Oryctolagus cuniculus: one gene and its partners. The protein of the gene in region 3 purifies or fractionates together with the protein of the main gene of each other region. This does not show direct contact. Links are inferred from orthologs where the notes say so. Each region holds a gene or a part of one and is shown on either strand. Other genes may lie near its edges.

The links.
Region 1: the proteins of FBXL17 (region 3) and ZBTB10 purify together in Homo sapiens (affinity purification with western blotting; 3 studies listed by BioGRID and IntAct, with this or other methods). This does not show direct contact. The link is inferred for Oryctolagus cuniculus from reciprocal best matches to the Homo sapiens genes FBXL17 and ZBTB10.
Region 2: the proteins of FBXL17 (region 3) and KLHL9 purify together in Homo sapiens (co-immunoprecipitation; 3 studies listed by BioGRID and IntAct, with this or other methods). This does not show direct contact. The link is inferred for Oryctolagus cuniculus from reciprocal best matches to the Homo sapiens genes FBXL17 and KLHL9.

What each region holds. Positions count from the first base shown.
Region 1 is NC_091437.1:106,000,177-106,003,927, forward strand, and holds the start of ZBTB10 (zinc finger and BTB domain-containing protein 10), read left to right. Parts: upstream 1-1,186; 5' UTR 1,187-1,299; coding exon 1,300-2,289; intron 2,290-3,751. UniProt on the Homo sapiens protein: May be involved in transcriptional regulation.
Region 2 is NC_091432.1:184,421,134-184,424,884, forward strand, and holds the start of KLHL9 (kelch-like protein 9), read left to right. Parts: upstream 1-1,413; coding exon 1,414-3,267; 3' UTR 3,268-3,751.
Region 3 is NC_091445.1:30,475,028-30,478,259, reverse strand, and holds part of FBXL17 (F-box/LRR-repeat protein 17), read left to right. Parts: intron 1-2,917; coding exon 2,918-3,058; 3' UTR 3,059-3,232. UniProt on the Homo sapiens protein: Substrate-recognition component of the SCF(FBXL17) E3 ubiquitin ligase complex, a key component of a quality control pathway required to ensure functional dimerization of BTB domain-containing proteins (dimerization quality control, DQC).

The DNA of each region.
Region 1 (3,751 bases), on a different chromosome or scaffold from region 3:
ATTTCCATTTCATCACGGCCGTCAAGACACTCGGGGCGGTGCGTTTTCGGCGAGAGGATGGTTGCCCCCGGGGCCCGAGGCGCTGCCCTGGCATCCAGGGCAGGCGGTGGTCCGCGGCTCGCCACCTCCTCGCCCGAGAGGCGCTCGCCCGCTCCAGTCTTTGTGAGGGGACAAAATAAGTTCACTTCCTCGGGCACCGCCATCCACACACACCCACACCCCCACCCACCGCACCCCACCCCACCCCACCCACCCCCAGCAAATGACAAGGCTGGAGCGCAGCTTCCCACCGCGCACTTATTTCCCAAAGTCCCAGGTGAACTCGTGGCGAGAGGAGGAAAACGCGCGTCCCGGGCGCGGGTAGGTGCCTGTGGGCAGCGGGGAGGCGGCCAGACCCTGACACTCGCCAGCTGTTTGTCCTCCGCGCAGCCCTGGCCCCGGCCGCACACGCCCGCCCCTCCCCGAGACCCCCAGCCGGCCGCCCGGCCTTTTGTCCCCCCGCCCCTCGGCCGACTTCCTTCCCTGCGGCCGCACCCCCGCCCCCAGGCCGGAGGCGCGGCCCGGCCCCTTTCCCGGTCCCCTGGCGCCCCCACCCCACCCCAGCCCAGCCCCAAGCCCAGCCCCCCTCCCCCAGCCCGGCCCCCACCCTTTCCCCCTCCAGCGGTTACTGCTACCCCGGTGCATTGTGGGCGCACGGTCCGTTGTTCATTTGCCATTCGACCTCCGCCAGGGCCTGGTCGGACGGAAGCGCTCCGCCGGCTTTATTGTCGGCTCGTTATGTGGCGGAGCCGGGCAGTTTAACGTGCCTCTCGTCCTCAGCGCGTCGGCAGCCGGCGGCGGCGGCGGCGGCGGGACTCCTCGGCGCGCCGGAGGAAGGATATCTGTTTGGAGGGTCGGTGTGTGCGCGCGGCGTAGAAGAGGGGGCAGCGGAGGGTCTCCCCGCACTCCGCCTCTCAACTTCGAAGGCCCCACGCGCCCCGGCTCGCTCCTCGCCTCTCCGCCGCCCGCCCCCTTCTCCGCGCGGGACGCTGCCCGGAGCGCAGCGGGGCGGGGGTGGAGGACGCGGAGAGCGGCCGGAGGCGGCGGCGGCGGCGGCGGCAGCGGACGCGGACGCGTGCGGCAGCCCCGGGCGCGAGCCGGGCGGGAGGGCGAGGCCGAGCCCCGCGAGACCGGAACGCCGGGGGCGGGGGCGAAGCGGAGGGGGAGCCGCGGGGAGCGCGCGGGACGCGGCCCGAGGCCGGGCGCGAGCCGGGGCACCGGGCGGCGGCGGCGGCGGCGGCGGCGGCGGCTGCGCGCGCCATGTCGTTCAGTGAGATGAACCGCAGGACGCTGGCGTTCCGAGGAGGCGGGTTGGTCACCGCCAGCGGCGGCTCCACGAACAATAACGCTGGCGGGGAGGCCTCGGCTTGGCCTCAGCAGCCGCAGCCAAGACAGCCCCCGCCGCCGGCGCCGCCCGCGCTTCAGCAGCCCAATGGGCGGGGGGCCGACGAGGAAACGGAATTGGAGGGCCTGGAGCCCCAAGACTTGGAGGCCTCCGCTGGGGCGGCCGCTGCTGCGGCTGCCGCGGCCGCCGCCGAGGAAGCTAAGGAGTTGCTGCTCCCCCAAGACGCGGGCGGCCCCACCTCGCTGGGCGGCGGTGGCGCGGGGGGCCCCTTGCTAGCGGAAAGGAACCGTCGGACTCTGGCCTTCCGAGGAGGCGGCGGCGGCGGGGGTCTCGGCAACAATGGCAGTAGCCGCGGCCGGCCCGAGACCTCGGCGTGGCCCCTGAGGCATTTCAATGGACGAGGGCCGGCGGCTGTGGAGCTGGAGCTGGACGCGCTGGAGGGGAAGGAGTTGATGCAGGACGGCGCGTCCCTGAGCGACAGCACCGAGGACGAGGAGGAGGGGGCGAGCCTGGGCGACGGCAGTGGGGCGGAAGGCGGCAGCTGCGGCAGCAGCAGGCGGTCGGGCGGCGATGGCGGGGACGAAGTGGAGGGCAGCGGTGTGGGAGCTGGCGAAGGAGAGACTGTCCAGCACTTGCCGCTCGCGCGGTCCAAGTCCCTAATGCAGAAGCTCCAGTGCTCCTTCCAGACCTCCTGGCTAAAGGATTTTCCCTGGCTGCGGTATTCCAAGGATACTGGCCTTATGTTTTGCGGCTGGTGCCAAAAGACCTCCGAGGATGGGGGCAGCGTGGACCTGCCCCAGGTGGGGCACGATGAGCTTTCTCGAGGGACCCGCAACTACAAGAAAACCCTTCTCCTGAGGCACCACGTCTCTACCGAGCACAAACTCCACGAAGCCAACGCCCAGGTAGGCTAGAGCTCGCGCCTGCCTCTTTTAGGGGGAAGATTCCTTGGCTAAACCACCCATTCCCCTGAGCGAGGGCATCGCTCCCGTTGAGAGGGGTGCGGGGAGCCTTCCGCGTGGGGGTTTGGAAAGCCTGGGAACAAGTTTGCAAAAGTTGTGTATGTGGTGTGGGGGGAGGGGAACGGAATGACAATTTTCTAATCGTACCGCTGACTGTGTTTTTATGTCTTTATGACTGAGATTTCTTTGCTCTTGGGATTGAATCCAGTAGAAGGTTTTGAAAAAGTAGGTTGAAGGTTTTAGTCTAAAAGGATGACTTCGGGTCATGTATTTTATTAGCTGTGATTTTAGCGAAGCCGCCTTATGTTCGTAGAGGTTTAGTGTACTGCTGGAAGTCAGATCTGGCAACTGAAGAGTGGATTAGGCAGAGTTCCCTAAACCTGGCAATACCTCTCCCAAGAAACCGTCTAGCCGAAAGAGTTCTTCCATTAGAGCACGATAATGTGAAGTGTCAGAACTGTATGTAAATGTTGGGGAAGCTATTTGAATAACTCCTTTCTCATGTGAGTAATTTTACTAAACTCGTCTCGGCTGAACTTGTTGAACTTTCTTACCAAGACTTGCTTGTGGTAAACTGTCGTAGCTTTGACCTGTGTACTTCTATCCAGATTTCTGTGCTGAGAGTCTTCTATAGCCTTCTTTTTCAGAAACGTTCTTGTAAATCAGTTTACATTGAGTACTTTAAACTTAGCGTGGGAGATATTTAGTATGCAGTTTTTTTGGATCAAGTAGTTGATTTGAACTGGTAGGGAATTTTTTTTTTTGACCAAATTCTTGAAAACCCCAGTCTTTAGCTACAAATCAAGTAAGCTGTACTTTAGTTCTTAGTCCTCGTTTTAACATTTCTAGTCTAAAGATAGTAGCCTAACCATCAAGCCAAAGATGTTGATCAGCCCGTTTTTTTTTTCTTCTGACTTTTACAAAAAGATCCATGAATGTGGATGGAAATCATTCTTTTGTAGCCAAGTCATTGATTTTAGAAAGTCAATTCTCATATTTGTCCCTTGGTGTGTTGTTTATTGGCGTGATCTTGCGTTCAGCACCCTTGTAAGGGAGTTAGTTAGGCACACCAATAACCACACAGACCCAGTACAGAAGATTCTCAGAAGTTGGGGCTTTCACTGAAAAAGCATAGGGTTATTATTCCTATATACTTCAGATACAGTTTTGGGGTTTTTTTCTTTCCTTGCAGATATTTAGTTGCTTAAACCCTAGGAGGAAGATCATTTAAAGATACAAGCCCCAGAAAGGTTAAGTAAATTGTCCTAAGTCTTAAGAGTTCTGGGTGGCAACTGAGACTAAAGCCTATAAGGAGTGTCGTAATGGAAAAAGAATGGGTTTGGAGTAAATCTGGGTTCAGATCTCAGCTTTCTGCAGTTGCTAGCTTTGTGAGCTTGGGCAATGA
Region 2 (3,751 bases), on a different chromosome or scaffold from region 3:
AATTGCATCAAAGTATTCATTTATTCATAAGCCAAAAGTTAAAATAGTAATTAATGAAAGTTAATAAAGTAAGATAAAAATCAATAGCAGAGAAATACACTGTCGTGACAGTATTTCTGAAATATGGACTTAAATCAATATTCTACCAAACATAACCCAAAACAGGGTGAGTTTCTATTAAGTTGATTTTAGTTTCTATAGGACAAGAGAGGCTAAGAATGTATATATCCAGGTAAAAATAATGGTCAAAGAAACTATGTTATGTAACTAGTGGAAAATTGTGCATTTAAAATGTGAGTGGTAATCAAAAGCTTGAAAAAAAATTATGATGGCATTGCATTGTTAAGCCAGAAATGATGAATATACTAGGTTTTTACTATTCGTATGGTCACATTTTACTAGCGACAAATACTATGTTTCCAACGATAAAAATTTCAAATATGAACCCAAATCATTGAAGTGTCTGTTAAATTATACCGGGTAAAATTTATGAAGTGTTTTATAGAGAAAGATCATTTAAGCATCCTCCCCCTACGGTTACTTTGCCAGGCGGCCTCTCAATTTATACAAAAATCGTTCTTATTTCATTGTTAGAAGCGGCCAGCGAGCCTACACCTTAAAGAAGAATCCAGACTCATCTACACCAAATGCGCGTGTAACTTACGGGTACTCCTTCCGGCCTACCCAGCCTCACGCACACGGAGACTCCCCCGCGCCCCGCTACCACCCACCTGCGACCGCTCGGCTTCTCCAACCCCCGCACGCCCCGCCCATCCCGCTCTTCCTCCCCCTCCCGGACACGTCGGCAAGCCCGCCCACCAATCAGGGCAGACGGCTGCGCAGGCGCAGTAGTTCCCACGGACGCTCCTAGCCCGGGGGATCCTGGGACTAGGCCTTTCCGGAAGGATCGGCTCGGCGTCAGTGGCTAATTCTGTGTTCCCGGCCCAGGCCCAAGGCCAGGCGGTGTTCCAGGCCCTTGCTGCAAAACTGGCCGGTGGCCGCGGCGACGGTCGAGTGACAGCGGAAGGCGCAGGCGGCCGCCCGCGGAGGAGCCCGGTCGCGCCGCAGAGTGAGCGGCGGAGCCTCAGTACGTGGCGGCACCTCCCCCTCGGCTGCGAGCGGAACTGCTGAAGGAGCGGCAGCGCAGGCCAGACGAGGTGAACCGGGTCATTTAACTGCCTTAAGGTGATGAATCGCCAGCCTAATAATTAGATTTGAGGTCCACCGCCGTTTGTGGCCCTGCCGCTGGAGAGTTTCCAGTGGACGACTGACTGGTGTGTCCTGAGGGGCGCCACGGTGACTGCTCGTCCTTGCTAGGGGAAGTGAGCTCTGTGGACATCTCTGTTTCCTGAAAAACATTCGGGTTATAATTGCTTTCTTCGGCATACATCTGTACAAGAGGGAGGCTTTCACATGAAAGTGTCTCTCGGTAACGGCGAAATGGGCGTCTCTGCCCATCTGCAACCTTGCAAGACGGGAACCACACGGTTTTTTACCAGCAATACTCACAGTTCGGTGGTACTGCAAGGCTTTGATCAGCTTAGAATAGAAGGTTTGCTTTGTGATGTGACCCTGGTACCGGGCGATGGAGATGAAATCTTCCCTGTTCACAGAGCGATGATGGCTTCTGCTAGTGATTATTTCAAGGCTATGTTCACAGGTGGAATGAAAGAGCAAGATTTAATGTGCATTAAGCTTCATGGGGTGAACAAGGTTGGTCTGAAGAAAATCATTGATTTTATTTATACTGCAAAACTTTCTCTTAACATGGACAATCTTCAGGACACTCTTGAAGCTGCTAGCTTCTTACAAATCTTACCCGTTTTGGATTTCTGTAAAGTATTTCTTATATCAGGAGTCTCTTTGGATAACTGCGTTGAGGTTGGACGAATTGCTAACACCTACAATCTAATAGAAGTGGATAAATATGTTAATAATTTCATCTTGAAGAACTTCCCTGCTTTACTGAGTACTGGAGAGTTTCTAAAACTCCCTTTTGAACGGCTTGCCTTTGTGCTTTCCAGTAATAGTCTAAAGCACTGTACTGAACTTGAACTATTCAAGGCTGCCTGTCGATGGCTAAGGTTGGAAGATCCTCGGATGGATTATGCTGCAAAATTAATGAAGAATATTCGATTTCCACTGATGACACCACAGGACCTCATCAATTATGTGCAGACCGTGGATTTCATGAGAACAGACAATACCTGTGTGAACTTGCTTTTGGAAGCTAGCAACTACCAAATGATGCCATATATGCAGCCAGTGATGCAGTCTGACAGAACTGCCATTCGGTCTGACTCTACGCACTTGGTTACCTTAGGGGGAGTGTTGAGGCAACAGCTGGTTGTCAGTAAAGAATTAAGGATGTATGATGAAAGAGCACAAGAGTGGAGATCTTTAGCCCCCATGGATGCTCCTCGTTACCAGCATGGCATTGCTGTCATTGGAAACTTCCTTTATGTGGTTGGTGGTCAAAGTAATTATGATACAAAAGGAAAAACTGCTGTCGATACAGTTTTTAGATTTGATCCTCGATATAATAAATGGATGCAAGTTGCATCATTAAATGAAAAGCGCACTTTCTTCCACTTGAGTGCTCTCAAAGGACATTTGTATGCAGTTGGAGGGCGCAGTGCAGCTGGTGAACTGGCCACAGTAGAATGTTACAACCCACGAATGAATGAGTGGAGCTATGTTGCAAAAATGAGTGAACCCCATTATGGCCATGCTGGAACAGTGTATGGAGGCTTAATGTATATTTCAGGAGGAATTACCCATGACACTTTCCAAAATGAGCTCATGTGTTTTGACCCGGATACAGACAAATGGACACAGAAGGCCCCAATGACTACAGTCAGAGGATTGCATTGCATGTGTACAGTTGGAGATAAGCTCTATGTCATCGGTGGCAATCACTTCAGAGGAACAAGTGATTATGATGATGTTCTAAGCTGTGAATACTATTCACCAACGCTTGACCAGTGGACACCAATTGCTGCCATGTTAAGAGGTCAAAGTGATGTTGGAGTTGCTGTCTTTGAAAATAAAATCTACGTTGTTGGTGGATATTCTTGGAATAATCGTTGTATGGTAGAAATTGTCCAGAAATATGATCCAGAAAAAGATGAGTGGCATAAAGTTTTTGACCTTCCAGAGTCACTCGGTGGCATCCGAGCTTGTACCCTCACGGTTTTTCCCCCTGAAGAAAACCCTGGATCACCTTCTAGAGAGTCGCCACTCTCAGCACCTTCAGATCATTCTTAGATCTAAGGTGTTATATCTTGGCAGTTCTTCATGGATGATCTCCTATTTCCCCTTCAGTTGTATCTTCTTCACAATGGTTGGTAGTTGTGAGATAAAAAGGTAACATTATTTGTCTTGTTTGGCTTTGTTTATCAGGTGGCTAACAAATGCATTCTGAAAGTGTATTCAACATAGCTGTTTTAACAAATGAAAGGAGATATGCAGAACAATGTTTAAATTAGATGTCTCTTTGTGGTGTTATTAAGTCAAATTGTAGGTGACTGTAGTAAATGTAATTGTGTGCATTATCCTTCAAAATTTTCATCTTTGAAAAACATCAAGGGGAGGTCTGCTGTAACCTAAAATAATAAATGAAAAGTCACCAATTATTAGCTACCTCCCTCTTTTCAGAGTTTTTCACACATGTCAACTCATTTGGTTTTGTGGTTGCATATGGAGTATGTGAAGTTTCTTAGGTCTTAGGCAGATAGGAGAAATAACAAAA
Region 3 (3,232 bases):
AAAGAGAGCCGTCGTCCTCATGGGAAGCTTAAATGTTTTCTCTTTCCCATTCTTTTCTCACCTATATTTCGTTATTAGTTCAGTGGCTTGGGACTGCATTTACCTCCTTTGCAGTGGGATGCAGACTTTTCCAAGGGTCTTCTCTGAGGAAATGACTTCAGCTGTCTCTTCGTGAAAGCCATGTCCTTCAGGTTGTTTGGCAGGAGGTAACACTGGTGATAGAAAAGGGAAGAGTTCCTATGATACCTGTACTATGTTATTAAGGAAAGTCCTGGTATCACCTTCCGAGAGCACTAAAATGCACTGGATTCTTCTTGTATATGAATTTTTAGAGGAAGTTCTAAGTATTACTTCTTGCCCTATTTTATTTTTTATTTTGAATATTATTATTATCAGGTTTTGTTTTTGAAATATCTGAGAAGTGGAACGATATTGATCAGCACTCAGCATGTCGTTATCTCTTGGCGTTCAGTGACTGTTCACTGAGTGCCAGCTGCAGTGACAGCAGCCGCTCTCCAAGAAACTTTTGTGTCAGTCACCATGCTAGGCACGTTATTATATCACTCCTTTTAACAATCGTGTGACATAAGTGCTTTTATCCTGATCTTACAGTTGGAGAAACCAATCCTTAAAGAAACAAAGCGAAAGCAGAATCGCACCTGTTTCTTGTTGGCTCCCATGTCTATGGAACGAGCCACAGTTGCCACGTTCCTCCTCTGCTTTGGGCAGAGCTTGCTCATGTTGAAGTTGAAGGCAATCTGTCTGCAGGGACTTTTATTCAGGTGGAAGAGATGGGGAAGTGAAGAGATGCATGGATGCTGTGTGCAAACGCTCTGAGACAGACCTTGCTGGTGCCCCTCCCCCTCACCGTGGGTGCATAGAGAATGGCTAACCCAGCCTTGGGGGAGACAGAATTACTTCGGGAAGGCTTTTCTTGAGAAGGGGTGCTGAGATGAATGGAAATTCCTCAGGAACCTATTGGTCTTCGTACTTCATGTTGGCAGTGTCTGGCTTTGCCTTGTTCTTGGATTTCTGGATTTTATTTGTAGTTTGTTATTGTCTTATCATTCATTCACTAATAACCATGCTGGGCTCATGGATACAAAAATTTTCATAGTTCTTGTAAATCTTACATTCGGGCAGGAAAATAGATATTAAACAGGGCAATTATGAACTAACTTGATAGTATAATAGACTGTGAAGGAAAAGTAGTCAGAGTTGGAAGAGTGAATGACCTGGAACCTTAATTTGAGGTGGGGAACAGGCAGTGGTCAGGCTTCTTTAAGAAAATGTCATTGTTGCAAAGAACTCAAAAACGAGTAGGAAATATGTACACATGAGGAGAGGGGTGGTAATGGGAAAAGGGAGTAAAGAGAATTGCAGGTGAACAGAATTGCACGTTCAAAGTTTCTGAGGCCAGAAGGAAACTGGACGGGTCGATAAACTGAAATAAGGCCAATTGACTGAATTGTATTCAGCTACAAGCTGCATGAATTCAAACAAGACTTACAGAATACCTTTAAATGTTTTAAAAGGTATATCGCTTAACACATCTTAAAACCGTTGTTTTAATTCATATGCTCAACTCTAACTTGTGTATCTGTTTTTCTTTTCTAATCCAAAATAGTTTTTGTTGCTTTTGAAAACAAAATGTTACATATCACAGCTATATCACAAAAAAAGAACTAACTTCATGCCTTGGTTGAATTTGGAATAAAAGTTGATTTAAATATCAGCAAGTCTTGAATAGTGAAGTGTTCTGACAAAAAGTATCATCAGTGCAGTATTGAAATATCCACTTTCGATTGTAAAATAAAGGATTAATATATGCCATAGTTTTCCAGGCCAGCTCCAGACACCTTCTTGTTTTGGAAAAGTGCAGGCAACTGAACTTCACGATCACCATACTTCGAAGCAGGCTTTCAAAGCAAATAGCAAGGGTTTGATGTTGTTTTAGGTTGCTCCTGGTGGTCCTGATCTTTTTAAATAATGGACATTAAGAGGAAGGCTGGGAACGTGTATTACAAGTAGCTTCCTTCAGACTAGCTTACTCAGTATAAATGAAATATTGATGTATTTGAAAATGCCCAAGAGTTCAATAAAGGTTTTAAATAAAGCTACCTAAAAGTTGTGGTTCTTAGGTTAATCATTTATTTATCTAAAGGATGAAGGAAGCTGTCTACTTCTGTGATATGAACTGCAATCAGCTTAAAAATAATTGACAAATTAATCCCTTCACAGCACAGCAATTGTAAAGGTGTTAGTTTTAATTAGGCCTGTCTGATTGCCTTGTCTAATCAAGAATCAAGGTGGTATCTTTGATGGTTAAGGTCTATTGGGGCCATCCCTGACCTGCCAGCCATGTATGTTTTAATTATTGATTCCTCACTTTTCAGCCCTTCCCACAAAGGGACGTGAAGTTTGCAATCCCTTACCATTTACAGGGGAGAAAAAAAAAAATAAACATTTTCCCCAGCACTTCTGTCTGGAATCCCGTGTATCCTTTCCCGATTCTACAGTTTGCATCCAAACAGGCTGTCAGATTGATGACGAAGTCGAATGTGTATTGGGATGCTATTGTTCTGCTGTCTCACCTCCCCAGCGCCAGATTTGCAGTGGACGTTGTTGAGAGCTTGACAAATCACTGTCATTTATGCTTTAGGAAACACATTTGGTTTCTTTATATTGTGGCTTTAAAAAAGACAAAAATCCCCAAGGGCAGATGTAGCACTGGGAAGTCAGAGGTTAGACCAAAGGGGACACAGATCTCGCAGAACATTTCCTCGTGGTGTTTGCGAAGAAGGACCCAGGCGAGAGCTCGTGCGCCATCGGAATTAAGTCCAGCACACACAGGAGCAGGGGCAGCCGCTGGGCCTGGTGGTCCCTGAGTGTGATGTTGGTTCTTCTTTGCTTGCAGGTCAACGAAGTGACGGTGGAGCAGCTGGTGCAGCAGTACCCCCACATCACCTTCAGCACTGTCCTGCAGGACTGCAAGAGAACCCTGGAGAGAGCCTATCAGATGGGCTGGACCCCCAACATGTCGGCCGCCTCCTCCTAGCACCCCTGCCCACCAGGATTAGGTCCACCAGGACCATTCAGCAGGCCAGAGGGGAGTTGTAGTTTTGGGGTGGGAATCTCTTGAATGGTTTTAACTGTCACCTCTCTGCGTGTGTACCAGAGTGTGTATATTTGTGTCTCGTTTGCCTTCTGCACAGCATAAGCCCACATGTTC